Anolis sagrei: one gene and its partner. The protein of the gene in region 1 interacts with the protein of each later gene in a pairwise test. Links are inferred from orthologs where the notes say so. Each region holds a gene or a part of one and is shown on either strand. Other genes may lie near its edges. The genes, in order: SNCAIP and NUB1.

Region 1 (15,215 bases):
AGCTTTACCATAAAAATAGGTAAATCCAATTAGGTAGAAAGATAAGCAGGAACCAATAATTCAGGGAATTAGTCCATCAGAGTTCATGAAAAACAAATTCAGAAACGTCCAAGGTAAAACTCCAAAACTTGAATCATGAATCAAAAAGGCACTTAACATGTGAATCTATCCAGGCAAGGCTTCCAAGGACCAGGAAAGGTGTCTTGACTCAATTTCAATGATGCTTAATCTGAACTACAGATTCTGTACTTGGCACTTTCATGCCCTAATTTACTCATTGTCCCAAGCAGCCAGGAACGGGTTTCGTTTCAGCTTTGACTCTGTTATCAGTCTCTCTCTGAGACTGGCAGAATGCCTAAGAGATTGGGTTTTTTTTATCTGTAATGACTAAAAAACATCCCTTCTATCTACTGGCTCATTAATTTCTGCCACTGACCCAGGTGCCGAGCTATTCTCAGGCTCAAAGTCATGTGAATTCTCTGGTAGCAATTCAGGCCCTCTTCCAGGAACCATACTATCATCCCCAAACCTTTCAGGAACATTCTCATCAGAAAAGACACTTCAAACAGGAATCCCGTTTGTCATTCTCTACACCAATAGCAACCTCATCTTTAGATACATGAACCTCATTGTCATTCCCAATATCCAAATTACCCTGAACAATAGACACAATCACAGACTGAACTCAAATACTCAGTGTGAGAGGCCCTAGTGTGAAGGCCTGGTGTGAGAAGCTTCAGTGAGAGAAGCCCCAGGTGTAAGGCCTCATGTGTAAAGCCCCAGTTTGAAGGCCTATGTGTAAAAAGCTATTGTGTGAAGCTCCTGTGTAAGTTCAATGTGAGGGAAGGCTCTGTGAGAGCGAAGCTAGAAGCTGTTTATCTGCATGAGAAAGAAGCCCAGTGTGGAAGCAAAGAAGGAAGTATAAAGGACTTTGTGTTATAGAGACCTTGTTTTTGTAAATAGTGCAACCATATTATTTTGCTATAAAGACTCCAGAGGAAGAGATAACATTGGTCTGTGTTTTTGTTCTGTTCCTCGCTTTTGACTACTGGTGCTGGGTCACGCTGCTACTAATTAAATTACTCTGCTATACGTTTATGAGGAGGGTCTTTTGTTAATAAGCCCACTTGACCAACAAAGATGGTGTCAAGCTGCATCAATTCTACATTGCAGATACACCCTTTTGATACTTACAGTAGCAAACATACTAGCAAGCAAGCTTATAAACATGCAAGCAGGTGAACTCTGTCTCTCTGTCTCTTTCCCTCTCACATACACACACACACATTTTAATGTGTAGATACAGTTAGCTTTAAACCTTCCCTCCAGTGTATTGAGTCCCTATTGTGCCCCTCCATGAAACCCAGTCGATTAGTGCTGGGAACAGCCGAGAACCCCCCTGCCAATCGTTGCGCTCCTCTGCTGTTTAATTAAATCACTTCATTTTCCCCAGACACATGGGTTTTCCAATGACATTCTGTGGATGCAGATAGCTAAGCCATTTCAGAGCTATGCCGCTCCAGCTTAGAAGCATTCATAAGCAGGGCTTTGCAGCTTATGTTATGTGATAGGTTTTTCCACAATATGCTCTGGTGCATCGATATACTGGAGGCACACAAACCTGACTGCGTACATAAAAGTAGAACAAAAGGCACAGAGAAGTGTAGCAATGAATGTAATGTTTCCTGCTCTCCTCATTTCTACAGCATTTTCATAAGAAAGAGGAAACAGGGCAGGTCCTACCCTTGAGTGAGACAGGAGCCTCAGGCAGCAGATGCTGAATGTCACAAAAGGGCAGCAAATGGTATGCTCCTGTGGTGGCATTGTTGTGTACCTTCAAATCATTTCTAACCCATTGCCATTCTAAAGTGAACCTGTCACGGGGTTTTCTTGGTGGGATTTGTTCAACTTTGTCATTGCCTCCTCCTGAGAGAGTGCATTTGCATGAAATTGCCCAGTGGGTTTGTTGGCTAATCAGGGATTTGAATCTTGGTCTCCAGAATTGTAGCCCAACACTATTCTGGGTTGCTGTGAGTTTTCTGGACTGTATGGCCATGTTCCAGAAGCATCTCCCCTGACTTTTTACCCACATCTATGGCAGGCATCCTCAGAGGTTGTGAGGTCTGTTGGAAACTAGGCAAGTGATGGTTATATGTTGTTGTGGTTGTTTATTTATTCAGTTGCTTCCGACTCTTTGTGACCTTATGGACCAGCCCATGCCAGAGCTCCCTGTCAGCCGTCACCACCTCCAGCTCCTTCAGAGTCAAGCCAGTCACTTCAAGGATACCATCCATCCATCTTGCCCTTGGTCGCCCCCTCTTCCTTTTTCCTTCCATTTTCTCCAGCATCATTGTCTTCACTAGGCTTTCCTGTCTTCTCATGATGTGGCCAAAGTACTTCATCTTTGCTTCTAATATCCTTTCCTCCAATGAGCAGTCGGGCTTTATTTCCTGAAGTATGGACTGGTTGGATCTTCTCGTGGTCCAAGCACTCTCAGAATTTTCCTCCAAAACGCAGTTCAAAAGCATCTATCTTTCTTTGCTCAGTCTTCCTTATGGTCCAGCTCTCACATCCATAGGTTACTACAGGGAACACCATTGCTTTAACTATGTGGATCTTCGTTGCCAGGGTGATGTCTCTACTCTTCATGATTTTATCAAGATTGGCCATTGGTTATACACCTGTGGAATGTCCAGGGTGGAAGAAAGAACTCTTGTCTGTTGAGGCAAGTGTGAATGTTGCAAATGGCCACCTTGAATAGCATTTAATGGCATCGCAGTTTCGAAGCCCCACTGGTTACTGCCTGGGGGAATACTTTGTTGGGAGGTGTTAGCTTGGGAGGTGTTAGCTGATTGATTCTTGTCTGGCATTCCCCTGCTTTTTGAGTGTTGCTCTTTATTTACTGCCCTGATTTCAGAGGGTTTTTTTTTTAAATACTGGTAGCCAGATTTTGTTGGTTTTCATGGTTTCCTCCTTTCTGTTGAAATTATCCATATGCTTGTGGATGTCAATGGCTTTTCTGTGTAGTCTGACATGGTAGACTACACAAAGTAACAAAGGATTCTCCCAGGTAGGAAGCAGTCAGGCTTTGAAGCTGCAAGGTCATTAAATGCTAATCAAGGAGGCCATTTGCAACATTCATACTTGCCTCAAGCAGACAAGAGTTCTTTCTTCCACCCTGGACATTCCGCAGATATATAAACTTCACTTGCCCAGTTTCCAACAGACCCTCCAACCTCTGAGGATATCTGCCAAAGATGTGAGCGAAACATCGGGAAATAAGGCTTCTGGAACATGGCAATAATAATAATAATAATAATAATAATAATAATAATAATAATAATAATAATGGCAGCAGCACTTTCTGCCACATATGCCAGATAACAACGTGGTAGGCTTTAACTACTGTTTGGGTGGCTTGTGAAGAGTTGTTTTATTAGTTTCTTCTTGCAGCTTGCATGGGAGAAGGTCCAAAAGCAAAATGGCAACTTGTTGAAAAGTGCAATCTTTCGGAGCAATCTTTCAGAGGACATTCTACTAATGACACTCGTGTAGGCGGGAGCTGTGTCTGACCATATCGGGAGCCATTCTGAGGGGTGAGAGTGAATCACTCAGGAAGGAGAGTGCCATGTGGAAGCATCCGAGGCCACACCACGTTGCCAACCGTTTCGCCAGAAGGATATTTTGGACACAGTCCAAGACCGTCATTTCCTCACAGTCGAGGGCAGGCTGTCATCTCTTGGAGGAGGCCCACACGTCCTTAATTAAAACACAGGGAACGGCGCTCGATCCTGCTAATTAGGTTTGGAGGATGTCTTCTGTTTGAAGGGGATGCCTCATTCCCCAGAATAGTGCAGCAGTGACTTCACCGGAGGGAATCCACCTCCTTTCCTTTTGGAACCCCACGAGTCCCTTAGAGCTGCAGGAAGAGAAATGAGTTCTCCATTGGGTAACCCTCGTCTCATTCATAAATCCTGCGGTCGACAGGAATAAAGATGATAAATATGTCACACTCGGTGAGGATTTTAATACATTTAGCGCTTCACGGGGGGAGGGAAGATGTACAACAGACTGCACCAGGAAAATAAAATATGGGAAGGGGGAGATTTGTAAAAAGCAGTGAAGGGGGGGGGGCAGATAAGAAGGGGATGCATAACAGAGAGAACCAGGAAGAAAAGGAGGAATATTGACGAGAAGCATAAAAAGGACCAGGAAAAAGGGGAGCATATTGGTGAAAAGCACAAAATGAGGGGAGGGAAATGGATAGGAGAGAACGTATAACAGACTGAACCAGAAAGAAAAGGGAGGCGGGAATACTGGTGAAAAGCACAAAAGAGGGGGACAGAGACATGCATAAAAGACTGGACCAGAGGGGAAAAGGAGGGATATTAGTGAAAAGCATGGAATGTAGGTGGGGGGGACAAATAAGGGGGAAGGGGGAGATTATAACAGACTGGAACGGGGGAATAGGGGGGAATATTGATGAAAAATCCTGAAACGGGCTAATAATGGGGGGGGGGGGCAGTGAACCGCGAAAAGAGGATGTTTGGTTACTGTGAGTTTTCAAGGCTGTATAGCCATGTTCCAGAAGCATTCTCTCCTGATGTTTCACCCACATCTATGGCAGGCATCCTCAAAGATTGTGAGGTATATTGGAAACTAGACAAGGGAGGTTTATATATCTGTGGAAGGTCCAGGGTGGGAGAAAGAACTCATGTCTGTTGGAGGCAAGAGTGAATGTTGTAATTAATCACCTTGATTAGCACTGAAAAGCCTTGCAGCTTCAAAGCTTGGCTGGTTGCCCCTGGGGGAATTCTTTATTGGGAGATGTTAGCTGGCCCTGATTGTTTCTTTTCTGGAATTCCTCTGTTTTTGAGTGACGTATTTTTCTTTACTGTCCCAATTTTAGAGTTTTTTTTAATACTGGTAGCCAGATGTTGTTCATTTTCATGGTTTCCTCCTTTCTGTTGAAAATGTCCACATGCTTGTGGATTCAGTGGCTTTTGTGTAGCGTGACATGGTGGTTGTTAGAGTGGTCCAGTATTTTTGTGTTCTCAAATAATATGCTGTGTCCAAGTTGGTTCATCAGGTGCTCTGTTATGGCTGACTTCTGAAGTAATCTGTAGTACTTCTGACTTCTGAAGTAATCTGTAGTGCCTCACATATTCCCTCATAGCTTCCAACCCAGGATTCCCCCATAGAATCAGTAGAATGTTATCCATCAGTCCTGCTTGGAGATAGAATCATAGAATCAAAGAGTTGGAAGAGACCTCATGGGCCATCCAGTCCAACCCCTGCCCAAGAAGCAGGAAAATTGCATTCAAAGTACCCCCGACAGATGGCCATCCAGCCTCTGCTTAAAAGCCTCCAAAGAAGGATCCTCCACCACACTCCCTCTGGGACAGAGTTCCACAGTCAGGAAGTTCTTCCTAATGTTCAGATGGAATCTCCTTTCTTGTAGTTTGAAGCCATTGTTCCATTGCGTCCTGGTCTCCAGGGCAGCAGAAAACAAGTTTGCTCCCTCCTCCCTATGACTTCCTCTCATGTATTTATACATGTCCTTTATCATGTCTCCTCTCAGCCTTCTCTTCTGCAGGCTAAACATGCCCAGCTCTTTAAGCCGCTTCTCATAGGGCTTGTTCTCCAGACCCTTGATCCTTTTCATCGCCCTCCTCTGGACACATTCCAGCTTGTCAATATCTCCCTTCAGTTGTGGTGCCCAGATGGGAATCAGCTAGGCTCTGAAGCTGCAAGGCCATTAAATGCAAAATGCTAAACCCTTCCCTGCTCTTTCCTTCCCTTCCTCTTCTCTTCTGGAGGCAGAAAGTGAAGGAAAGACAGGAAACATTTGGATCCCAAAGGGGTTGGTCTTGGTCAGGATTTGATGTGGACAGGAGAGAAAAAGTGTATCCATTCTGTATTGCCTACTCCTGATACAGAATCCTAGAGTTGAAAAAGACCCCCAGGGGCCATCCAGTCCAACGCCCTGCCATGTAGGAAGGTACAATCAAAACACTCCCAATAGACAGCCTCTGCGGAAAAGCCTCCAGAGAAGGAAACTCCACCACACCACGAGGCAGCCTATGCAACTCTCCAACTGCTCTTACTCTCAGGAAGTTCTTCAGTGGAATCTTTTTCCCTGCCATTTGAACCTACTGCTCCCTTGTGCCCTGGTCTCTAGAGCAGTAGAAAGTCAGTTTTCCCCCTTCTTCTCCTCCTCAGTGAGACACCCGTTAAAATCTTGAAACATGGTTCTCAGGTTCCCTCTCCACCTTCCCTTCTCCCAGCTAAACATCCCTCAGGAGGAAAGGAGGAAGGAAAAAGAGAAGGAAGGAAGGAAGAGAAGGATGGAGGGAAGGAAGGGTGGAAGGAAATGGAGAGAGGGAGAGAGGAAAGAGATGGAAAGAGAAGGAAGGAAGGTGAAAGAGAAGGAAGGGGGAAGGAAAGAGGGACTGAAGGGTGGAAAGGAAAGAAGGATGGAAGGAGAAAAAGGCAAGTAAGGAAGGGAGGGAGGGAGGGAAGAAGGAAAGAAAGAGAGAAGGAAAGAGGGATAGGATGGTGAGAGAGAGGAAAGCCCCCCCCCCCCCCCCCCCTTGGCTTATCCATATCTGGTTTAACCCATTGATCCACTGGGGACATTCTGGCCATCAAAGCCTTGGCCAACACAGGGAGGGATGTTGTTGAAAAGTGGGGAAAGGGGGAGAGGGAGATGTATTACAGACTGGACCAGGAAGAAATGGGGAGGTGGACATTAGTGGCAAGCATGGAAAGACCTAAGGGGAGTGCCAAGAGGGGAAATGCCTAGCGCAGAAAGGGGAGGGGGAAGGGAGATGTATAAAAGGGGAGGGGAGCATTAGGGTCAAGCATGGAAAGTGTGTGTGTGGGGGGGGGGGGGGAGGAGGAGAGAGACAGCTAAGGGCTGAGTGCCCAGCCAGAAGGGGATGGCGAGGAGTAAGTGTCAGAGGATGGAGAGAAAGCGTGGTTCGGACTCACCCACGTGGGGAGCGTGGCAGGAGGAAAGGGGGGCGTGAAAGAGAGAGAGAGAGAGAGGAGGAGAAGGAGGAAGAAGAAGAAGAAAGGCAAAGGGGGAGACTAAGAGAGAGAGAGAGCGAAGGAATGCGTGTCGGAGAGGAAGAGACGAGGGAAGCCCAGAGAAAGAGCGAGGGTTGTGTGCGGTGGGAGTCAAACCCGAAGTGTGCGTGCACACGAGAGAGGGAGGGAGGGAGGGAGGGCGGCGTGTGTGTGTCTCAACACTGAGGAGGGGTCTTGCGGAGGAGGAGGCGCGGAAAGGGGAGGGGGTGCAAGTCATGTCAGCATCCAGCTCGTCAGCTTGCCTCGCTTGGAGTAAACCAGCGAGGTCCCCTGCCCCTTCACCATCGCCTTCTTCATCCTCCTCCTCCCTCCGGGCCTCCCTTTGAAGTCACGTGCTTCACCCCCCCCCCTTTTCCTCCTTTCCTCCTCCTCTTCGGCAGCAGCCCCCCGAATCCCCGCGGTGGGGAATGGCCTCGGCTTCATTGTGACGCAAGCAAGGCGAGAGAGAGAGAGAGAGAGAGAGAGAGAGAGAGAGAGCCGGCGCTGGTCCCCGAGCCTCCTGGCCCGGCGCGCTCCCCTCCAGCCAGACGGCAGCAGCCCGGAGCAGGAACCGAGAGGCGGAGGCAGAAGCAGCAGGAGCTCCCCGGCGGCGAGGTGAGCTCCGCTGAGTGCCACTTCTCCCTCCAGGCAAGGCAAAGCAAGGCAAGTTTTGGAAGGGACCGGGCTGGGTCGGGACTCCCGGGCGGCTCTGCTGCGGGCGCGGCTGGGCGAGGGCTCCACCGGGAGGTCTCTATAGTAACGCTGCGGCTCTACTAGACATGCGGGTCCCTGGAACAGCCCCTCGGGTAGCTGAGGGATCTCCCTCGCCTCGCCTGGTCGGGGAGCGCCTTTGCCTTTGCCTGCCTTCCAGCCAAGAGGCTTTGGGGAAGTCTGGACGCCCCGAATGGGATAGAGACACCGTCGGAAACAGGGAAGAGGTGTGTCTGTCTCCCTCTCTCTCTGTCATATAAATATGTAAAAACAGATGGAGAAAGAGAGAGGCTTATAGGGTGTATCTATGCTGTAGGACAGGCATGGGCAAACTTGGGCCCTCCCGGTGTTTTGAACTCTAACTCCCACAATTCCTAACAGCCTCAGGCTGAGGGGGGAAAGGAAGGGGCCTGAGGCTGTTAGGAATTGTGGGAGTTGAAGTCCAAAACACCTGGAGGGCTGAAGTTTGGCCATGCCTGTTGTAGCTGTACTGAACATCTCTCTTTCTGTATCTGTGCATGTGTGTGAGAGACATACTCAGAGTACATCTACACACTGCAAGAATCAATGCAGTTTGGCCCCTCTTTCACTGCCATGGCTCAATGCTGTCGAATCCTGAGGCTGTTAGGAATTGTGGGAGTTGGAATCCAAAACACTTTGAAGGCTGATTTTGAGTGGATCTACACTAGACATGGGCAAACTTCGGCCCTCCAGGTGTTTTGGACTTGAACTCCCACAATTCCTAACAGCCTCAGACCCTTTCCTAAGAAACTGAGGGGTGGGGGGAGGAAGGGGCCTGAGTCTTTTAGGAATTGTGGGAGTTCAAGTCCAAAACACCTGAAGGGCTGACGTTTGCCCATGTCTACCATAGAATGAATGCAGCATGACTCCATTTTAACTGCCATGGCACAATGTTGTGGAATACTGGGAATTGCAGTTTTACAAGGTCTTGGAATGAGAGAATCATAGAGTTGGAAGAGACCTTGTGGGCCATCCAGTCCAACCCCTTTCTGCCAAGAAGCAGGAAAATCACATTCAAAGCACCCCTGACAGATGACCATCCAGCCTCTGTTTAAAAGCCTCCAAAGAAGGAGCCTCCGCCACACTCTGTGGCAGAGAGTTCTCCTGCTGAACCGCTCTTCCTCATGTTCAGGTGGAATCACCTTTCTTGTAGTTTGAAGCTAATGCTCCTTGTCCTAGTCTTCAGGGCAGCAGAAAACAAGCTTGCTCCCTCCTCCCTGTGACTTCCTTCACATATTTATACATGGTCATCATATCTCCACTCAGCCTTCTCTTCTGAAGACTAAACATGCCCAACTCTTTAAGCCTCTCCTCATATGGTTGTTCTCCAGACCCTTGATCATTTTAGTTGCCCTCCTCTGAACACATTCCAGCTTCAATTGCAGTGCTCAGAACTGGAAACAGTATTCCAGGCATGGTCTAACCAAAGCAGAATAGAGGTAGCATGACTTCCCCGGAGTTAGACACCAGACTCCTATTTATGCAGGACAAACTCCCATTGGCTTTTAAAGATGTTGCTTGACATTGTTTGGCTCATGTTTAACTTGTTGTCCACGAGGACTCCAAGATCTTTTTCACACGAACTGCTGTCAAGCCAGGCGTCCCTCATTCTGTATCTTTGCATTTCATTTCTTCTGCCTCAGTGGAATATCTTACATTTATCACTGTTACAGGGTGCATCTATGCTGTAGAACAGCCCTGGGCAAACTTCAGCCCTCCAGATATTTGGACTCTAACTCCCACAATTCCTAGCAGCTGGTAGGTTGTTAGGAATTTTGGGAGTTGGAGTCCAAAACACCTGGAGGGCCGAAGTTTGCCGAGGCCTGCTTTAAATAAATGCAGCATGGCTCCACTTTAATTGCCATGGCTCAATGCTGTGGAATCCCGGAAGTTGCAGTTTTACAAGGTCTTCTCTGCCAAAGGGTGTCATCCACACCATAGATTGAATGCAGTTTGACACTACTTGGAATTTCCACAATGAAATACTACAGGACTCAAGGAAGTTGTAGTTTTCCAAAGTTTTTCCTGCGCATAGTACATGTCTATGCTATAGAATGAACACAGCTTTACACTGCTTGAACTGACAGGGCTCAACACTATGGGGCCCTGCAGTTTCAGGAGGCACTCATGCTCTTTGGCAGAGGAAGCTGAAGAGCTTGTAAAACTACAACTCACAGAATTCAACAACATTGAGCCATGGCAGTGAAAGAGGGGCCAAACTGCATTGATTCTTGTAATGTGTAGATGCACACTGCAAGTGTCTCCCTCACACACACATGTACAGATACATACAGAAAGAGAGAGAGATTTTGAGTGCACCTACACCAGACATGGCCAAACTTCAGCCCTCCATGTGTTTTGGACTCCAATTCCCACAATTCCTAACAGCCTCAGGCCCTTTCCTTTTTGCCCTCAGCCTGAGGCTGTTGGGAATTGTGGGAGTTGAAGTCCAAAACACCTGGAGGGCCCAAGTTTGTCCATGCCCGATCTACACTGAATTCAGTTTGACACTCTCTCACTGCCATGGCTTAATGCTGTGGAATCCTGGGATATGCAGTTTGATGTGGCACCAGCCTTCATTGGCAGAGAAGGTTTATTAAAACTACAACTCCCAGGTCCCATAGCATTAAGCCATGGCAGCATACGCGGCGTGCAACTGCTCTCATTCTACAGGGTGTGGATGCACCCCCATAGGGAGCCAGAATAGATGTGTCCTTCCCTAGTAGAGGGTCAATGTAATTCCAGAGCCCAGGCAGATCAATCACCTCCTGGGAAATAAAGATGCGGAAGCTGCTTTGAATCACCTGTGTGTGTACTGAATCCCACCTAGAAATAAGCACCGCTTTGGAAAAGGAGGGGGAGGTGGGATGAATCTCTGCCTGATTTCAAAGGAAAATCACTCAGGTGGGAGCCCCTTTCTTCCCACCTCGAGGTGTAACTCCTGTCCCTGACATCTTCTCAGCCGCCTTTCTCTTGGGTCACCCTTGTGTCAAGAGCCTCTTTGCAGCCTCTGCTGGAATGCTGGCTTTTTCCTTTTAGCCATTTAACTTCCCATCGTTCTCTCTCTCTCTGTGATCTTTTCTTTCTTTCTTTAAGACCTGCAAGGTAGTGAGGACAGTTGAACCAGTTGCTTTTGTCAAAATGCCATGTTGTGTCTATTTATGCCTTTGAACATAAAATGGGGGAGGAAATTGGTGGCAGATATATATATATATATATATATATATATATATATATATATATATCTCAACCCTAGTTTCCACAGGAAATGCTGGCATTCTTTACAGACTCTCTGTGGGCAGTGAAGAAATTGTCTTCAGAAATACACACTGTTGACAATTTCAGTGTAACTGGAGCAAAAGCCTTGAATGTTATCTTTGTTTTTTTTCTCTTGTCTTGCTTGCATGAGGGTGATGCGGTCGCCCTGCTGTTGTTTTCTGCTTGCTGGGTTTTCAAAGTGAGCAATAAAAACGTAAGCAGACTGTGGTTGACAGGTATCCATCAGAGAACCAGAAAGAATAAAAGCAAAGGAGCAGCCAGCTTTCTTAATGAAACTCGGGCTGGCTCGGAATGGCTTTATTAGTATTTTAACCATATAGCATGATGTCAGTTCTCTCAAGTGCCATGGTGAGATTTGTTTCAGTGCCATTTCTCCTTGAAACATGAACCCAGTGGAAATTTCTCTTTTCAGTGCTGGGAAACATGCCTTTGAATGTTGCATATATTCAGCTTACACATTTTAGAATTTAAAGCAAAGTGGAAATAGATTTCCTTCTGTGATTAAAAAAAAGGAAAAGATGTTGGCACAAACCACCACCTCTAGTCTGGTGCCTGGTTACACTCATTTAAAACTCCATGTGTTCTGCATGTAACTAAGCAGAGATTTGCCACTTATCCAACATAAACGGAGCGGCAGAACGTTGGATAAGCAGAAATGTTGGATAATAAGGAGGCATTAAGGAAAAGCCTATTAAACATCAAATTATGTTACGATTTTACAAATTAAGCACCAAAACATCATGTTTTACAACAAATCATCAAAAACAGCAGGGTTTTTTTTTCATGTCAGGAGCAACTTGAGAAACTGCAAGTTGCTTCTGGTGTGAGAGAATTGGCCATCTGCAAGGACGTTGCCCAGGGTGTTTTGATGTTTTACCATCCATGTAGGAGGCTTCTCTCCTTTCCCCACATGGGGAGCCAGAGCTGACAGAGGGAGCTCATCCGCACTCTCCTTGGATTCGAACCTGCAACCTGTTGGTTTAACCCACTGCGCCACCAGCACAAGGGTTTAACCCACTGCGCCACTGGGACTCTAAGAAAAAGTAGTTCAATACATGGTAACAATATGGAGTAATTACTGTATTTACAAATTTAGCACCAAAACATCACAATGTATTTAAACAGCTGTGGATCTGGGCAGGAGGCAGACTTTGTTGGATAATACAGAATGTTGAATGAGCGAAGGTTGGATAAGCGAGACTCTACTGCATATCCCAGAGAAGTCCTACTTTCTAGATTCCACTTTAATGTGTTGCTCCTTATCTACATTGCCTGCATAGTTTAGTTCAAGGGAGTTTTCCCATTGGAGTTAAAAACCTAAGATGCTCAAAGGAATTAGCAGTGAATGCTCAGATGAGTCAGAAAGGAGGTTGACACTATTATGCCATATTTTATGTAGCCCAGAAATTGAGTGTGATGTATCTGTCAGGCATGTTCTCAAGGACACCTAGAGTAGATTAGTTGCTGTTCAACATATTTCACTACCCTGTTGAATTCAAAAAGTGTGTCAAAGATCTAGGTCAGCTTTCTCCAACTTAGTCCCTTCCAGATGTACTGCACAATAAGTATTCTCATGCTTTAAATAACATGGTTACTGACTACATTACTAGGAATTGCTGGGATTTGTAGTCAAATGGTCCTGAAGCTTTGGGGCAGGCATTTCTTGATCTTCCAGAATATAACTATGCCGGGGAAGTATTTTAAATTATGTACGAGATTGTAACTATTAACCAGAAGGAAATGACTAAATTTCAGATTGATTCAGAATGAATTGTTGGCTTGGAAGCACTTTCCTTCACAAGCAAGATCAAACTCTGGATTACAGTAGAGTCTTGCTTATCCAACATAAATGGGCCGGTAGAACATTGGATAAGCAAAACGATAATAAGGAGAGATTAAGGAAAAGCCTATTAAATGTCAAATAATGTATGATTTTACAAATTAAGCACCAAAACATCATGTTTTACAACAAATCGACAGAAAAAGCAGTTCAATGCACTGTACCATTATGTAGTAATTACTGTATTTACGAATTTAGCAGCAAAACATCACAATGTATTGAAACAGCTGTGGATCCTGGTGGGAGGCGGACTGTGTTGGATAATATGGAACGCTGGATGAGGGAAGGTTGGATAAGTGAGACTACTGTATCATCATTTTGGAACTACAAAGATTGATCAGCAATCACAGGGCTGGGTTGCTGTGAGTTTTCTGGGCTGTATGGCCATGTTCCAGAAGAACTCTTTCCTGACATTTCGCCTGCATCTATGGCAGGCATCCTCAGAAGTTGTGAAATCTTTTGGAAACTAGGCAATTGGGGTTTATATATCTGTGGAATGTTCATGGTGGGAGAAAGAACTATTGTCTGTTTGAGGCAGATGTTAATGTTGCAATTGGTCACCTTGATAAGCATTGAATAGCCTTTCAGCTTCACAGGACTATTTTCTGTTTTTCTGTGTTCTTTTACAGCATGCCTCACTTATTTGAGTCCATCACTCATATGATATGTTTGCTTTTGTTCCCCCCTTCTGCCAGTAGCACATAGTTGATTTGGATGATGTTCAGTAGTTGTTGGCTCTAGAAAAAAGATGTCACCAAGCAAAGTGCTGGACCACATGATTTACAAATTCATTCCAGTCCAATGATCCTTGGTTTCTGTTTTATAATCATATGGTTGGGTTTGGATGTGGGAATTCCAGGTTTAGATCTCTGCTTGGCTGTGCCGCTCAGTGTGTGTGTGGCATCTGGTAAGCCACTATAGCTCTACCACCATCATAAATAGAGCCAAACTGCTGTAGGGCAGTGCGATTGATCCAACCTTGCTCACCACTAAACAATTTTGATGAAAGAGGTATTCCACAGATGAGGGAACATTTTGTCCTGAAGACATTTTGCATGGCAACTCCACCAATGCCATATCATTGTCCATGCTGCCTGGGGCATCTGGAAGCTGTCAAAACATGTGGGTAGGAGATTGTCCACTCTGATTTACCTTATGCTTCTGAGTCCAGTGTGTGTGCAGTTATGATTCTCTAGTCTACCCCACCCATTTATCTGAATTTAAAGTCAAATATCCAGTGAATTCTCATTTTCTACGTGTATAAATTAACTTTACCTTCTTGGCAAGAGTATTTGTAATTATAAAACAATACTCTGAAGCATTTGGAAGCCAGACAAGGCACTGGTGCAATTAGTAGAAGTAACTGTAGCAGCAAGAGTTATCTGACATGTATGCCTTAATTAGATGTGGGGACAGTTTAGATCCCTAATACTGTTACCCACAACAGCAGGAATCCATTTGCTTGCTTGTCTTCTAATGTGATAAATGACATCCTCTCTCAGCAGTGCCACTCTGCACTCTACATTGGGCAAGCAGGACAATCTCTATGGTAGAGAACTGGTCTTTCCTTGTGGTCCTCTCCTGCAGTTGAGCTGTAAAACGGTCTTTGAGTAACAAATGCACAATATCCCTTTTATACTGGTATGTACAATTCATAAGAGATAGGGAGGAAGGAACTCTTCCAGTAATAGAAATGCACCTTAGGTATATGAGGACGGAATCTTTTTCAGTCATTGCACTGAAGTGGATCTACATATTTGTAGCAGGCCAGTGTGCATGTGTGTGTGTGTGTGTTCACATTTCAAAATATTCAGTAGATCTATGAGACAGGTACAGTGTGTGAAAACTTTTACTAGGTGGTGTGAAGCATAAATAGGGAGGCTCCAGGCTTTGTGCCAGTCACTCCCAATGACAATTAGCAATGCCATGGGCACTCATAACTGTTGATATGATGGGACAGCAATAAGAAATCATTGACATGTTGTCTGGAAATACAACCAAGTAGTTTGGATTCCTGTTCTAATAGGATATTGCACAAGATGGCTTTGGAGTTTCTTCGTACACCATGATTCTAAATTTCACAAAGCCAGGACATAATAATGAATCTAGGGCTCCTTCCATACAGCTGAATAAAATCCCACATTATCTGCTTTGAACTGGAATATATGGCAGTGTGGACTCAGATAACCCAGTCTAAATAAGATATTGTGGGATTTTCTGCCTCGATATTCTGGGTTATGGCTGTATGGAAGGGCTCTGAGAACCCTTTTACACTAGACTATTATAGCATTAC
Region 2 (16,073 bases), on another chromosome or scaffold:
GGATCATCTGCTTTTATAATCTGGATTATATGGCAGTGTAGAAGGGACCTGAAATAAGTGACTTCAATTTTGTGGTCTAAACCTTAACGCCACTCCTTAGCACTACACTGGGGCTTGCATCCCATAGGGTTTAACCTAAGATGCATGTTGAAGGTTTGGCACCAGTCTTCAGGGTTGTCTAAATGTCAAAGCTCATGAGCTGCAAAACAAGCTATCCATTTTCCTTCCTTGTTCCTTATGGTGCAATGGGCCTTAGTGCGTGCACACAACCATTTCCCCCTTCGCTCCTAGCATTTAGGTATAGCAATGCGGCATAAGCACAATAAACATATAACCATCTTCGAGATGAACCCAGGAAGCCTGATGCCACCTGAGATTGGTTACAGCTCGATGCCACATTATATTTACAAATACAAAATAAAATGCCCTTTTCCTCCAGTGCTACTTAATTTGAAAATTTCTCTTCCTATCCAGCGATTACCTGCAACTTCAACCAGCACCCTTACATCCCTAAAACCTAAGGCTGATTCCACATACGTTCATTTGCTTCCATGATATTTGTTCCAATGTGGGAAGGGAGTAAATATAGGAGTGCTTTCAGATGGAATAGCGCATAGTGCTTCCAGATATGAAAAAGGGTTAAAAACACATTAGCATTCAGATTTATTTGTGTTGAACAAGCATATTTCAAACAATGACATTCAAATTAGCATTTAAAGTTGTGATGATCTACTAAAAGCATTACCAGTTTAAAAGTGATGAGTCCCATCCCTGATATTACTTGTCCCTGTTTGAACTTTAGACAGATAAAAAAAATGAGCTGTATAATTTATTTGACAATTCCATGTGTCATCCACCCAAAAAAAATCCCTTTTCTTGCTTTCTCATCTTTATGCATTAATTCCCTTATACTTCCCTCTTCTTTAGGTTAATAATTGCCATTGGGATCTCTATGAAAATCCCAGTGTTAAACGAAAATGAAAATTCCCTTTCTCATGGGACCGAGTCTTTATTATCTGCATTTATGATTCATGGTATACTGTAACTTGTTCTGTTCTATGGAGCACCATTTTTTAAATATTGTCTTTATAATTATCACTTCTTCATATCTAGTTCTTTGCATTTCTAATTTGTAAAAAAAGAAGTACTAAATCCAACAAGCTCAAATTTTATCCACACGTCTGATAGCAACTTTTATTCTTCTAGGACAGCGTTTCTCAACCTGGGGGATCACGAGGGCATGTCAGAGGTTGCCACAGACCATCTGAAAGCACAGTATTTTCTGATGGTCATGGGGGTTTTGTGAACTATAAATCCCAGTAACTACAACACTGAAATGTCAAAGTCTATTTTCCCCAAACTCCACCAGTTTTCAAATTTTGGCATATTGAATATTTGGTCCAGATCTATCATAGTTTGAGTCCACATTGCTCTCTGGATGTAGGTGAACTACAACTCCAAAACTCAAGGTCAATGCCCACCAAACCCTTCCAGTATTTTCTGTTGGTCATGGGAATTCTGTGTGTCAAGTTTGGTTCAATTCCATCGTTGGTGGAACTCAGAATGCTCTTTGATTGTAGGTGAACTACAAATCCCAGCAACTGCAACTCCCAAAAGACAAAATCAATCCTCTCCCCCAACCCAAACAGTATTCAAATTTGGGCAAATCGGGTATTTGTGCCGAATTTGGTCCAGTGAATGAAAATAAATCTTGCATATCAGATATTTACATTACAATTCATAACATTAGCAAAATTACAATTATGAAGTACCAACGAAAATAATTTGATAGTTGGGGATCATCACAACATGAGGAACTGTATTAAGGGGTCATGGTATTAGGAAGTTAGAGAACCACTGTTCTAGGACACAACCAGTAGTGTGTTTATTGACTCACTATGTAACAAAATTTGAAAAATGTTCTGTTCCTGGTTTGAAAGTGTAATTCCTGTTCAGTTGTGCAGTACTTGCTTTGAAAGTAGTTGTTATACTCCAGAAACTTCATCTTTGTGGCTGCCACAAACTATGTTGAATTGGTCGAGACTCTGTGAGATCTTCATTGGAAAACTATAGCAAAATGTGCTGAAGAATGTCCTGCAAAAATTAAAATTTTGCGGTTTACTAAACCTTTTCCACGTTTTTATAATAGAACTAGTTAGGAAATGACATTTATAACCCAAGAATAAAAATTGCATTACATAGTGATATCTGCCATCAGTAACCATGATAAGTAGCAATCTATTCACACTTATTTGAGAGCAAACTTCATTAAGCCAATTGAAATTCATTTCTGAGTAAAAGATAACAACATAATCTGAAAGTGATCACATTCTAAATATAAGATAGAAGGATATGTAAACACTGATTTAACTAAAACATGCAAGCAGCAACAACCAATCACTTTAAGAACCTCTGAACTGGCTCAGGTTCACCTTGAAGTTTTACTGAATGTCAAGGCAAAAGGCAGCCATGTGAAAACAAAACAAATAGCTCTTCCTGTTCCTAGATTTTAATATGTAACTAAGCGAGAATGTCGCTCTCTGTGTTAGTAATTATCAAATTGTGTCATCGTGATCCTTTCTAAACAGCTTGACATATTATGTATCATGATGGACAGCTTCTGTGTTCTCCCCAGTTGTGTACATAATATGAGAATATGTAATTAGCTTAAAAACAAACAAACTATGATACAGCAAACTTCAGACATGAAGCTGATAATCTTAGGTAGCTAGTGCAATTATATATGTGTAATATGAGCAAAACATCTGCCCTACATGCACAATACATACATAAGTATCCAGATAGTTACTGGTTTTTCAGAAGGAAAAACACCCTAGCAGCAGCAAAAGATCTACTGGCTTATGTATTAATTTCATACCATTCGGCCTCAGTAAATGACTCCATGTTCTCCTCTTGTGGATTAAGAAATAGAGAGAGAAAAATCCCATTTACTTTCTCCATATTCTAATGGTGCATACATGTTTTTACATCCACAATGTACACATTTCTTCTCTTTTGTTTATAAATCTTCCCACTTTTGTTTGGTCTTTATTACTTTTGTTTTCTCTTTACTACTGCTTAGAATCTATTCCCCGTTTTCCAATGAAAAAATGTCATTTTTCCCCACAGGTGATGACGAGACCATTGCTAAAGAATCTATGGTCAACCCTGTTATAATTAACAAGAAAGCGAAAGGGGGGAAAGCATCCAAAGAATGGGTTCCTGTCAAAGAAGTCTGCCTTGATCTGCCCCTTGGTGAAAACATACAAGATAGTTCACCATGGAGGATACACCTAGAGCTCCACCGCCTTGAACAAGGAGAACAAAGAAAAATAATCCCTTGTGATGTTCTGCAAAACAAGAATGAACAAGTTGACATTGGCAGAAAACTATCTCAGGAGGAAAGTGTGATATGTGAAGAATCATTAACAAGTTGTGAACAATCCATGGGGCTCCTGAGTGAGCAGGAAAATCCAAGCCCTGTTGAAAAGACATATAACTCCAATCCATCTTTCACACCAGTGACTTGGACACATTCACAAATGTCAGCCTCAAAACTGGCACCATCATCCAATAAGTTGCCCTATTATCCTTTCCCCCAGAAAAAGACTCGCAAGATTTCTGAAGCTGCCAGAAGACTTGGACTGTATGTTTCCCAATGAGGAGCCAGGTTCTTCCATCTGTAAGGAGGGAACTGTATGTTCAGTTCTGTTGGATATGGGCAACCGAATCGGGAACGATAGCAAATGTAGAGGCACCATGCTTTAATAGCTAGTCTGTGTTCCCAATTAAGACTAGTAATCGAGGAGATTATAATTACAATAGTTCTATTCTGCAGAAGTAACTAAGGAGCGAGTCCTGTGCCTGTGCAAAGTACCACACAGAGCAAGGCAGCAGTTTTATACAGAGGTTTTTGAAATCCACACACAACACAACACCCAGGAAGGAATATAATTCCCTTCAGAACTGTGAGCTGTTTTTATATGTATTATAGAGCAGTTGCTGTTGCTGTTGTTGTTACAAAGCTCTTCCATCCTTGCTTTTGGCTCACCCTTCCCTCCTCTGAGGTGCTGTCAGTATACAGCAATTTAACAATTTAGCTAAAAATTAGCAGTTTGATGCAAAGCAATTAACAATGGTTATTTATCTTTAACACCAGCCTCTTCAGTAATGATGACACCATACACCAGAAGATAGGATTAGAATCCAAAATAACTTTAACTGATTGGAGAATCTGTCCAAAACTAACAAAATTAATTTTAACAAGGAGAAATATTTGTACAGTACCACAGCTAGGCAATAAAAATGAAATGATCAAGGGTGTGGAGAACAAGCCCTATGAGGAGCAGCTTAAGGAGCTGGGCATGTTTAGCCTGAAAACAGAAAGTTGAGAGGAGATATGATAGCCATGTATAAATATGTGAGAGGAAGTCACAGGGAGGAGGAAGCAAGCTTGTTTTCTGCTGCCCTGGAGATTAGGACGTGGAAGAATAGCTTCAAACTACAAGAGAGGAGATTCCATCTGAACATGAGGAAGAATTTCCTGACTGTGAGAGCCGTTCAGCAGTGGAACTCTCTGCCCCGGAGTGTGGTGGAGGCTCCTTCTTTGGAGGTTTTTAAACAGAGGCTGGGTGGCCAACTGTCAGGGGTGATTTGAATGCAATATTCCTGCTTCTTGGCAGAATGGGGTTGGACTGGATGGCCCATGAGGTCTCTCCCAACTCTATAATTCTATGCTTCTATGAAATTTATATGGGATGGGTGACACTTGACTTAAAAACAGTCCCTGTGAAAAGGATTTAGGAGTCTTAGTGGACAACAAGTTGAACATGAGTCAATGGTGTGATGCAGCAGCTAAAAAGGCCAACACGACTCTAAGGGTGCTCCAAGACAGCACTAAATTACGGGTTTTAAACAGGGGCAAAAAAATCTTGGGAATTCAGAAGTAGTTGGTCCCAGGATTTCTGCCTCCATTATCCAGACTTGATGCTTTGTTGCAAGATTTAGAGGCTCCCAAGATGAAAACCTCAAGAGTTCTGTTCTTTGTCCTAGTAAGAGAAAATGTGCCCTGCACATATTTCATGAAGTTTCTGGCACACAAACAATTTTTTGCCTTCTACTCAGTTGTCACCTTCTTTTTAGGAACCAACCAATCAGGAACAAACATCTAAAACCCAGGAACAAACTCTAATAAAAATATCCCATGATTTCTGATTGCAGATATGCAAAGATCTGCATATTCGACTTAAAACAGCAATATTCCACACCAGGAAATCTCATGTTTTTTGCCTTTTGAAGTGATTGCTTCCGTGCTTACAGAGAATGGTGTCTGGCCACCCTCCTGTTTGTTGCGGAAGCTCCTGGGATAAAGATACTGTCTGGATGGGCACTAGGCTGCATCAGTAGCAGTATAGTGTAGAGATAAAGGAGTGATCTGTTTTGTTTTGTTCAGATCTGTTGAATGAAGCTTTGTCCAGTTCTAGGCAGCACAATTCAAGAAAGATACGGACAGGCTGGAATGTGTCCAAAGAAGAACAAAATGAGCTGAGCCAAATGTTGCTTTACAGCAGGCATGGCCAAACTTCCAGCAGTTGTGGGAGTTGAAGTCCAAAGTACCTAGAAGGCCCAAGTTTGCCCATACCTGCTTTATAGTGTAATCCTAAGTATCAACTAAGGAAAAAACTCAATTGAACTCAGTGGAATTCATAAACTGTAAGATTATGCTGTTAATTTGCAGACTGAAGTCACAATAAGTGATGCCAAATGAAGAACTATATTAATATGTACTGTTTTATGATTATGAATCCTCCTGCTAAATATATACCATTTGTATGCTATAGATTTTGAATTGCATTGTTCTCTTTAAATGCTGTGAGTTGCTGTGAGATAAAAGCAGGATATAAATAAACACAATAGCAATGCTTTGTGATATCTGGTCGCGTAACATTCCAATGAGCTTCCTATTACTATCAATCCTATTACACTATGTAATAAAATTTTGGGGGAAAAATCTGTTCCTAGTTTGAAAGTGTTATTTCCTCTTTAATTGTGTGGAACTTACTTTGAAAGGAGTCATTATACTCCAGAAACTTTATTTTTGTGACTGCCACAAACTAGGTTGAATTGGTTGAGACTCAATGAGCTATTCATTGAAAAACTAGAGCAAAATGTGATGCAGGATGTCCCGCAAAAACAAAGTATTGACATTCAATTACATCTCGCGTAGTAATAGCATTCTCACGGTACTTCTACACTGTTGAAGTAATACAGCTTGACACCACTTTAATAGCTATGGCTAAATCCTATAGGACCATGGAAATTGTCGTTTGATGAGGTGTCATCACTCGTTGGCAGAGAAAACTAAAAACCTTGTAAAGCCATAACATCCAAGATTCCATATCATTGAGCCATGGCAGTTAAAGTGGTGCCAAACTGCATTAATCCTACAGTGTAGATGAATCCACAGTTGTTCAAAACTTGCCATTCAAAAACACTCACAGGCACTAATTTATTTATTTATTTATTTCCTGCATTTATTAACCGCCGCTCTCAGCCCTAGGGCGACTCGTGGCGGTGTACAGCACATAAAAGACAATTTACAATAAGCCAAGACAACAGAACTAACATATTACTAATACACAACATCTAATTATACTAAAATAATCCGCTCCGTCTTATCATGGAATCATAATCAATCTCGTAGTCGTAATCCATTCCGGTTGTCATTTCCAGTAACATAGCACTCAGTTGAATGCCATCTCGAAAAGCCATGTCTTCAGGCCCTTACGAAAGGCCATAAGGGAGGGCGCCTGTCTGATGTCAGCAGGGAGGGAGTTCCACAGCCGGGGGCCCACCACCGAGAAGGCCCTAAGACAGAAGTTGTTGTTGTTTGTTGTTTATTTGTTCATTCGCTTCCGACACTTTGTGACCTCATGGACCAGCCACGCCAGAGCTTCCTGTCGGCCATCACCACCCCCAGTTCCTTCAGAGTCAAGCCAGTCATTTCAAGGATACCATCCATCCATCTTGCCCTTGGTCGGCCCCTCTTCCTTTCCCCCCAGCATCATTGTCTTCTCTTAGCTTTCCTGTCTTTTAATCATGTGGCCAATGTACTTCAACTTTGCCTCTACTATCCTTCCCTTCAATGAGCAGTCAGCCTTTATTTCCTGAAGTATGGACTAGTTGGATCTTCATGCAGTCCAAGGCACTCTCAGAATTTTCCTCCATCACAGTTCAAAAGCATCTCTCTTCCAGACAGAAATGGGTTGCTCTAAGTTTTCTAGCCTGTATGGCCATTTTCTAGAAACATTATCTCCTGACGTTTTGCCTGCATCTGGAACATGGTCATACAGCCCAAAAATCTTACAGCAACCCAGTGATTCCGGCCATGAAAGCCTTCGACAATACAAAGTGTTTGCAGTTTAATAAACTTTTCCCAAGTTTTTGTGATAGAAGCAATTAGGAAATGACATTGATAACCTGGGAAGAAAAATCATGTTACATAGTATTATTAATATACTATATAATATATATGTGTGTGTGTATATATATGTGTATATATATATATATATATATATATACACACACACACACACACACACACACACACACTAGCCGTCCCCTGCCATGCATTGCTGTGGCCCAGTCTGTGTATATGTGTGTGTATAAATTTGTGTATATGTGTATATATGTGGTTTAGCGCATGCGTTGTAATGTATTTTTTATTTTTTGGCTTTTAAAGTCTCTTCCGCTGTGTTTTTCAGAGTTTTAATGTGATGGTCACTCATTAACCTGATAAGAGCATTGTGTCCAAATTTGGTGTCAATTCGCCCAGTGGTTTTTGAGTTATGTGAATCCCACAAATGAACATTATATTTATTTATACACACACACACACACACACACACACATATAGGTAAAAGGTAGTCCCCTGACATTAAGTCCAGTTGTGTCTGACTCTGGGGTGTGGTCGTGTCCGACTCTGGGGGTTGGTGCTCATTTCCATTTCTAAGCCGAAGAGCCGGCGTTGTCCATAGACACCTCCAAGGTCATGTGGCTGGCATGACTGCATGGAGAGCCGTTACCTTCCTGCCGGAGCGGTACCTATTGATCTGCTGACATTTGCATGTTTTCGAACTGCTAGGTTGGCAGAAGCTAGGGCTGACAGCGGAAGCTCACGCTGCTCCCCGGAATGGAACTGCTACCTTTCGGTCAACAAGCTCAACAACTCAGCGCTTTAACCCACTGCACCACCGGGGGCTCCATATATGTAAATTTATAAAGATTTATAATAAACTAGCTGTCCCCTGCCACGCGTTGCTGTGGCCCAGTCTGTTGATCTGGAAAATAAAGCCATGAGAAAATGTTGGTTTCTAATATATGTAATTTATTTATGCTTGTGGGTAAACAGTATTCCTTGCTGTTTCTTTGATATCTGGTTTGCCTACTCTGGAACATCCAGCATATCATTATCCTTCTTTAGGGGTCCCTTTCAAATCTTTGATACTGAATCTGTCATATACATATATGTGTGTGAATGGCTGGGTGGCCCTTTGTCAGGAGGGCTTTGATTATGTTTTCTTGCCCTGGTGAAGGGAGTTGGACTGGATGGCCTTAAGGCAGCATTTCTCAACCTCGGGTTTGGGACCCCTGGGGGGGGGGGGTTGCGAGGGGGTGTCAGAAGGGTTGCCAAAGACTACCAGAAAACACAGTATTTTCTGTTGGTCATGAGGGTTCAGTGTGGGAAGTTTGCCCCACTTCTGTCTTTGGTGGGGTTCAGAATGCTACTTGATTGTAGGTGAGCTATAAATCCTAGCAACTACAACTCCCAAATGTCAAGGTCTATTTCCCTTAAACTCCATCTGTGTTCATATTTAGGCATATGGAATATTCGTGCCAAGTTTGGTCCAGATCCATCATTGTTTGAGTCCACAGTGTTCTCTGGATGTGGGTGAACTATAATTCCCAAACTCAAGGTCAATGCCCACCAAACCCTTTCAGTGTGTTCTGTTTGTCATGAAGTCCTATATGCCATGTTTGGTTAAATTCCATCATTGGTGGAGTTCAGAATGCTCTTTGATTGTAGGTGAACTATAAATCCCAGTAACTACAACTCCCAAATGTCAAGGTCTATTTTCCCCAAACTCCATCTGTGTTCATATTTGGGCGTATTGAGTGCTTGTGCCAAGTTTGGTCCAGATCCATCATTGTTTGTGTCCACAGTGCTCTCTAGATGTAGGTGAACTACAACTCCAAAACTCAAGGTCAATGCCCACCAAACCCTTCCAGTTTTGTCTGTTGGTCATGGGAGCCCTGTGTGCTAAGTATGGCCCAATCCCATCATTGGTGGAGTTCAGAATGCTCTTTGATTGTAGGTAAACTATAAATTCCAGCAACTACAACTCCCAAATGACAAAATCATAAATTTTTGAGTGATGGTTACACCTTGTGTTGTGAGACATTGTTTGGTGTGATTTCGTTCATTGGTTCTTTTGTTTCTAAGGAACTCATTATGCACAGATCATTTATATATATAATTGATAATGCATATAAATGTCCTAAACAAATAAATAAAACATAGCAAATGCCTAAATATGTTCCCAATGCTTATTTCTTTTATTTTTTAACATCATTTAGGAATTGTGGGAGTTGAAGCCCAAAACACCTGGATGCCTGCTCCAAAGGCATCTTAGGGTGCATCTACACTGTGGAATTAGCACACTTTGACACCACTTCCAAGTACTCAAATATTATGGATGATGAATGGTAGTTTTACAAGGTCTTTACCAATCCCAAGACTCCCTTAGCCTTGAGCCATGGCAGCCAAACTCCTATTCTTCCCAACATGCTCACACTACTACATCACTATAAGGCTATGCATTCCACTTTCCACTCCCCATACTGATCAATTCACCGAACGGCATGCTGGGAAGTGGAGTCCAGGGAAGCGGGCTTAGAACGCTCAGCGCGCCTGGCTCAACTACGAGACCCAGAACCCAACGGGGGCCTGAGTGGGCGGGGCGTCGCTCTGTGTGATCACGTGACGGCAGGCCATTCTCCCTCCCTTTCAGTTGGTGTGTTTTGGCTTTCGGTTGTGATGTGACGAAGCTTCGTCAGTCAGTCAGGAGGCGGGCAGGCCTGAAAGACACAGAGCAAGCTGGAGTCAAGCAGGTGAGTGATAGGAAGGGGAAAGGGGGACAAACAAGGCCTTCTTGAAGTCACAAGGCCTTGTTTATCCTTCTCCTTCTATTGGGAGGTGAGGTTTGGATACTCTAACACAGGCCTGAGCCAACTTGGGCCTTCCAGGTGTTTTGGACTCCAATTCCCACCATTCCTGACAGCCTCAGGCCCTTTCCTTTCCCCCCTCAGCCGCTTAAGCGGCTGAGGGGGGAAAGGAAGGGGCCTGAGGCTGTCAGGAATGGTGGGAGTTGGAGTCCAAAACACCTGGAAGGCCCAAGTTGGCCCAGGCCTGCCCTAGATACATCAGCACAGTAAAATGCTGTCCTTTATACAGATCTTGGGATATTTGGGGGATGTAACCCCCAAGTCAAAGTAACCCAAGTCATGTAACCCAAGTCAAAGCCTGGCATTAATTTATATCTCGTGTACACCAAATTGTTGTTGTTCATTCGTTCAGTCGTCTCCGACTCTTCGTGACCTCATGGACCAGCCCACGCCAGAGCTCCCTGTCGGCCGTCACCACCCCCAGCTCCTTCAAGGTCAGTCCAGTCACTTCAAGGATGCCATCCATCCATCTTGTCCTTGGTTGGCCCCTCTTCCTTTTGCCTTCCACTTTCCCCAGCATAATTGTCTTCTCCAGGCTTTGCTGTCTCCTCATGATGTGGCCAAAGTACTTCAACTTTGTCTCTAGTATCCTTCCTTCCAATGAGCAGTCGGGCTTTATTTCCTGGAGGATGGACTGGTTGGATCTTCTCGCAGTCCAAGGCACTCTCAGGACTTTCCTCCAGCACCACAGTTCAAAAGCATCGATCTTCCTTCGCTCAGCCTTCCCTAAGGTCCAGCTCTCACATCCGTAGGTGACTACAGGGAATACCATGGCTTTGACTAGGCAATGGATCTTTGTTGCCAGTCTGATGTCTCTACTCTTCACTATTTTATCGAGACTGGACATTGCTCTCCTCCCAAGAAGTAAGCGTCTTCTGATTTCCTGGCCACAGTCTGCATCTGCCGTAATCTTTGCACCTAGAAATACAAAGTCTGTCACGGCCTCCACATTTTCTCCCTCTGTTTTCCAGTTGTCAATCATTCTTGTTGCCATAATCTTGGTTTTTTTGATGTTTAGCTGCAACCCGGCTTTTGCGCTCTCTTCTTTCACCTTGATTAGAAGGCTCCTCGGCTCCTCCTCGCTTTCGGCCATCAGAGTGGTGTCATCTGCATGTCTGAGGTTGTTAATGTTTCTTCCAGCAATTTTCACCCCAGCTTTGCATTCATCCAGCCCCGCACATCGCATGATGTGTTCTGCATACACGTTAAAAAGGTTGGGTGAGAGGATGCAGCCTTGCCGTACGCCTTTCCCAATCTTGAACCAGTCTGTTGTTCCGTGGTCAGTTCTGACTGTTGCTACTTGGTCCTTGTACAGATTCCTCAGGAGAGAGGGAAGGTGGCTTGGTATGCCCATTCCACCAAGAACTTGCCACAGTTTATTATGATCCACACAGTCAAAGGCTTTGGAATAGTCAATGAAGCAGAAATAGATGTTTTTCTGAAACTCCCTGCCTTTCTCCATTATCCAGCGGATATTGGCAATCTGGTCTCTCGTTCTTCTGCCTTTTCTAAACCCAGCTTGAACATCTGGCAACTCTCGCTCCATGTATTGTTGGAGTCTTCCTTGCAGGATCTTGAGCATTACCTTACTGGCATGAGACATAAGGGCCACTGTACGGAAGTTTGTGCAGTCTTTCGCATTTCCCTTTTTTGGTATGGGGATATATGGGGTATGGGGACCAAATAGTCCAGTGGATTTTATTTACTAGTCAGATGTGAGCTAGGCAAAATTACGGTTAGATGGATCTGTAAATTGGTTAAGTGAACGAACCCAGAGGGTAATTCTCACCCAGGCTTCCTCTTCATCCTGGAAATAAGTGATAAGTGGAGTGCCTTTATTTATTTATTTAGCAGTTTTGTATACCGGTCTTCTCACCTCCATCGAGGGACTCAGGCCGGTTTCCAACAACAATATTACAACAATCATTAAAAACATCGTATTCCAGATTACACTAAGACATTAAAAACAAATACAATCATATAATTACAATGGTCAGTCGTCATCATAAAGTCATAAATCGTCGACATCCACCCATATCACAGGACTTGACTCATTCTTCGAATGCCAGTTTCCAGAGCCAAGTTTTCACCTGTTTTCTGAATGTCAAGATAGAGGGGGTCATTCTGATCTCCAGTGGAAGGGAGTTCCAGAGTCGAGGGGCCACCACCGAGAAGGCCCTGTCCCTCCTCCCCACCAGATGCGCTTGTGATGCTGGTGGGACCAAGAGCAGGGCCCCTCCAGGCGATCTTAGCAATCTTGATGGTTCATAGGGGAGAATACGTTCGGACAGGTAAACTGGGCCCGGTTCTGTCCAACATCTTTATTAATGACTTAGATGAAGGGTTAGAAGGCATGATCCTCAAGTTTGTAGATGACACCAAGTTGAGAGGGATAGCCAATACTCCAGAAGACAGAAGCAGAATTCAAAACCATCTTAACAGATTAGAGATATAGGGCAAAACAGATTAGAGAGAGGGCCCCTTCTATACAGCTGAATAAAATCCCACATTGTTTTCTTTAAACTGGAATATATAGCAGTGTGGACTCAGATAATCCATTTCAAAGCAGATATTGTGGGTTGTTGTTATTATTATTATTGTTGGATCCTCCTCTCGATGTTTGACATTGTCCTATCTCCCAGTGTTTTAAAATTTTATCCTGAATTTGGCCCTGGCCAGCTAAATCTTTTGTGTTTTAATGTCTGATTTTATATTGTTGTGTTGCTTATTACATTGTTTTGCATTTTATGTTTTTTGTGTTATATTGTTGTGTGTTATACTGTTGGGTGTGGCCTCATGTAAGCCTCACCAAGTCCCTCTGGGGGAGATGGAGCGGGGTATAAATAAAGTTTTATATTATTATTATTATTATTATTATTATTATTATTATTATTATTCTGCCGTGATATTCTGGGTTATATGGCTGTGTGGAAGGGCCAAAAATGAAGTTCAACGGGGACAAATGCAAGATACTCCACTTAGGCAGAAAAAAATGAAATGCAAAGATACAGCATGCCTGGCTCTTGGAGTCCTCATGGACAGGAAGGTGAACATGAGCCAACAATGTCCTGTGGCAGCAAAAAAGGCTAATGGAATTTTGGCCTGCATCAATAGGAGTCTAGTGCCTAGATCCAGGGAAGTCATGCTACTGCTCTATTCCGCCTTGGTCAGACCACAACTGGAATCACACTGTGTCCAATTCTAGGCACCACAATTGAAGGGAAATGTTGACAAACTGGAATGTGTTCAGAGGAGGACAACCCAAATGATCAAGGGTCTGGAAAACAAGCCCTATGAGGAGTGGTTTGAAGAGCTAGACATGTTAGCCTGAAGAAGAGAAGGTTGAAAGGAGACATGATGAGGACAATGTATAAATATGTGAGAGGAAGTCATAGGGAGGAGGGAGTGAACTTGTTTTCTGCTGCCCTGGAGATTAGGATGCGGAACAATGACTTCAAATTACAGGAAAGGAGCTTCCACCTGAACATTAGGAAGAACTTCCTGACTGTGAGAGCTGTTCAGCAGTGGAACTCTCTGCTCCAGAATGTAGAGACTAGGACACAATGGAGCAATGGATTCAAATTGCAGGAAAAAGGTTTCCACCTAAACATTCAAAAGAATTTCCTAATAATGGTAAGAGCTTTTCGGCAGTGGAGTATTCTACCTAGGAGTATGGTGGAGGTCTTTATACAGAGTATTCCTTGGGCCAAATACAGAAAATCATTATAAAAACAATAGCATAGATGTTACACAAGTGGTTGAGATATTTTGCAAGCTTTCCCTAGCAAATCATGTTATGGAAACTTGGGTGCATCTGCTTTACTAGTTTCCTTATGAAGTCACCCCCCTTTTTAAATTTGCTCATGTTATGCTTTCACAATGTATTTTGCTTTCTTTCCCCCCCTCTCTGTGGCCATGTGATAAATGTGTATGAACCAAATACTACTGAAAGCAAAACTAATGAATCTGTTTTACTGCCACGTCCCAAGCAGCAGATGGCAATGTTTAAAGATCTTTGCCAGATCTTCTAGCAGCCGTAAAATGAATCTTTAAGAGGCTCCACATCGAGGTCTTTTTACAAATAGTTTTATTTTTCTCCTTTAATTTATTCTGGTTTTCTGGAAGAGAGGATTCCTTCTCTCCCCGTCACCAGCTGCTTGGGAATCCCTCCGTTCCTCAGTGAGCTTTGCTTTCTGTTTTCCCGATTTGGCTCAAAGAGAAATGGCGATGCCAAGCGAGAAGGCTACAGATTTGGCTGAAAGGGGCTTTTGTGGGGAAATTGAACAAAGCTAAGCCACTGACCTTCTGCTTATCCATATGGTACTGATAGTGAAAGTCTATATGAAGGAACCAGGAGTTGCTTTTCCTGGCTTCCTACTCATATCAGAACTCCAGAAATACCAAAATATTGGTCGGCTTTCATTGGCTACATCTGTAAAACCTGGCAGCAGCTCCGGCTGTGCTGAGATCCTTGGCAGATGCTTAAATGTGGCAAACATGGTGGAGATGGCAAGGAGAAGCAGTGACAGCTGTAGTCCTTAGACCACTTCCTCTTCAGGATGGTGGATTTTGCTCCAAAAAGCGATTTAAAGATTGCTGTCTTTGAAACCTTCATTTTCATCTTGTTTGTGCCAAACTTGTCAACAGGTCTTTTAATAGTAGCTCTGAAGACTTCTGTAGGTGCTTTGAAAATCTTTGTTTCTTCATTACTTGAAGATCTAACATCTCTTTCTCTGTTTATTTGACTATATTCTCAGTTAGATATTCTTTTTTTCCAATAAGCACAAGATTTTTTTTTCATGTCAGGAGCGACTTGAAAAACTGCAAGTCGCTTTTGGTGTGAGAAAATTGGCCGTCTGCAAGGATGTTGCCCATGGAAAGCCTGGATGTTTTGATGTTTAACCATCTTTGTGGGAGGCTTCTCTCATGTCCCTGCATGGGGAGCTGGAGCTGACAGAGGGAGCTCATCCACACTCTCCCCGGATTCAAACCTCTGACCTGTTGGTCTTCAGTCCTGCCAGTATACGGGTTTAAATCACTGGACCAGAAGATGAGGTAGATAGACAGTTCATCTCCTCACAAAAAAGCCCTGCAAAGGATGTCAGGTTGAGAGAGTGAACGAAGGTCACCTGAGTTTCATGGCTCAGTCAGGTATTGAGCATGAAACCAATACATTTTAGTCTATCATATAAACCACCATATTATGCTGATTCTAATTTCATTCTTAGGTTTCATTTCACCAGGTATGTAAAGCCTTGCTAGGATTTAAATTTGATTAGATTTGTGCAATAAAATAACTATTATTTTAGTAAAGAGACGGAGCTGCGTTTGACCCCAGCATCTGTTAAATGAGCATTTTATCTGTTAATCCAATTTACAAGTGCACGCATTAGACTCTTGCCAGAATATGATTTTAACCTGTCAGGGGCTTCTTATAAAAATGGTTTACATGAGGAGAGCAGTTATATGAGCAAATAAAAACATCATGATAAATCATTAGCAAACATCTGTTCCATATTTATTGATTATTTCTTACTCAGCCTCAGATGAATGTTGTGTTTGCTTGTATAATGTTCTTTATGACTTCCATTTCATTTTTATTTTCTGCTAGAAATATGCTTGGCTGGCAGCCTGGAGCTTAAACTTTATTGATACCAGAAATATAAAGCATCATAATTTAATATTGTTATAAGAACAGGCCAAACAAAGATTGAACAACATTACACTCTTTCACAACTGTTGCATCCCAGGAGAGATAAGGTCTAAGTCACTTGTAGCTTTCGTGATAG

Evidence for each region.
Region 2: the proteins of SNCAIP (region 1) and NUB1 interact in a two-hybrid assay, tested with the Homo sapiens proteins (2 studies listed by BioGRID). The link is inferred for Anolis sagrei from reciprocal best matches to the Homo sapiens genes SNCAIP and NUB1.

The regions. Positions count from the first base shown.
Region 1 is NC_090022.1:240,218,966-240,234,180, reverse strand, and holds the start of SNCAIP (synphilin-1), read left to right. Parts: upstream 1-6,935; 5' UTR 6,936-6,951; intron 6,952-7,031; exon of another isoform or gene 7,032-7,195; intron 7,196-7,267; exon of another isoform or gene 7,268-7,472; 5' UTR 7,473-7,734; intron 7,735-15,215. UniProt on the Homo sapiens protein: Isoform 2 inhibits the ubiquitin ligase activity of SIAH1 and inhibits proteasomal degradation of target proteins. Isoform 2 inhibits autoubiquitination and proteasomal degradation of SIAH1, and thereby increases cellular levels of SIAH.
Region 2 is NC_090026.1:122,454,995-122,471,067, reverse strand, and holds the start of NUB1 (NEDD8 ultimate buster 1), read left to right. Parts: upstream 1-10,024; 5' UTR 10,025-10,170; intron 10,171-16,073. Other genes in the region: C6H9orf152 (uncharacterized protein C9orf152 homolog), read left to right, coding at 3,130-3,662. UniProt on the Homo sapiens protein: Specific down-regulator of the NEDD8 conjugation system. Recruits NEDD8, UBD, and their conjugates to the proteasome for degradation. Isoform 1 promotes the degradation of NEDD8 more efficiently than isoform 2.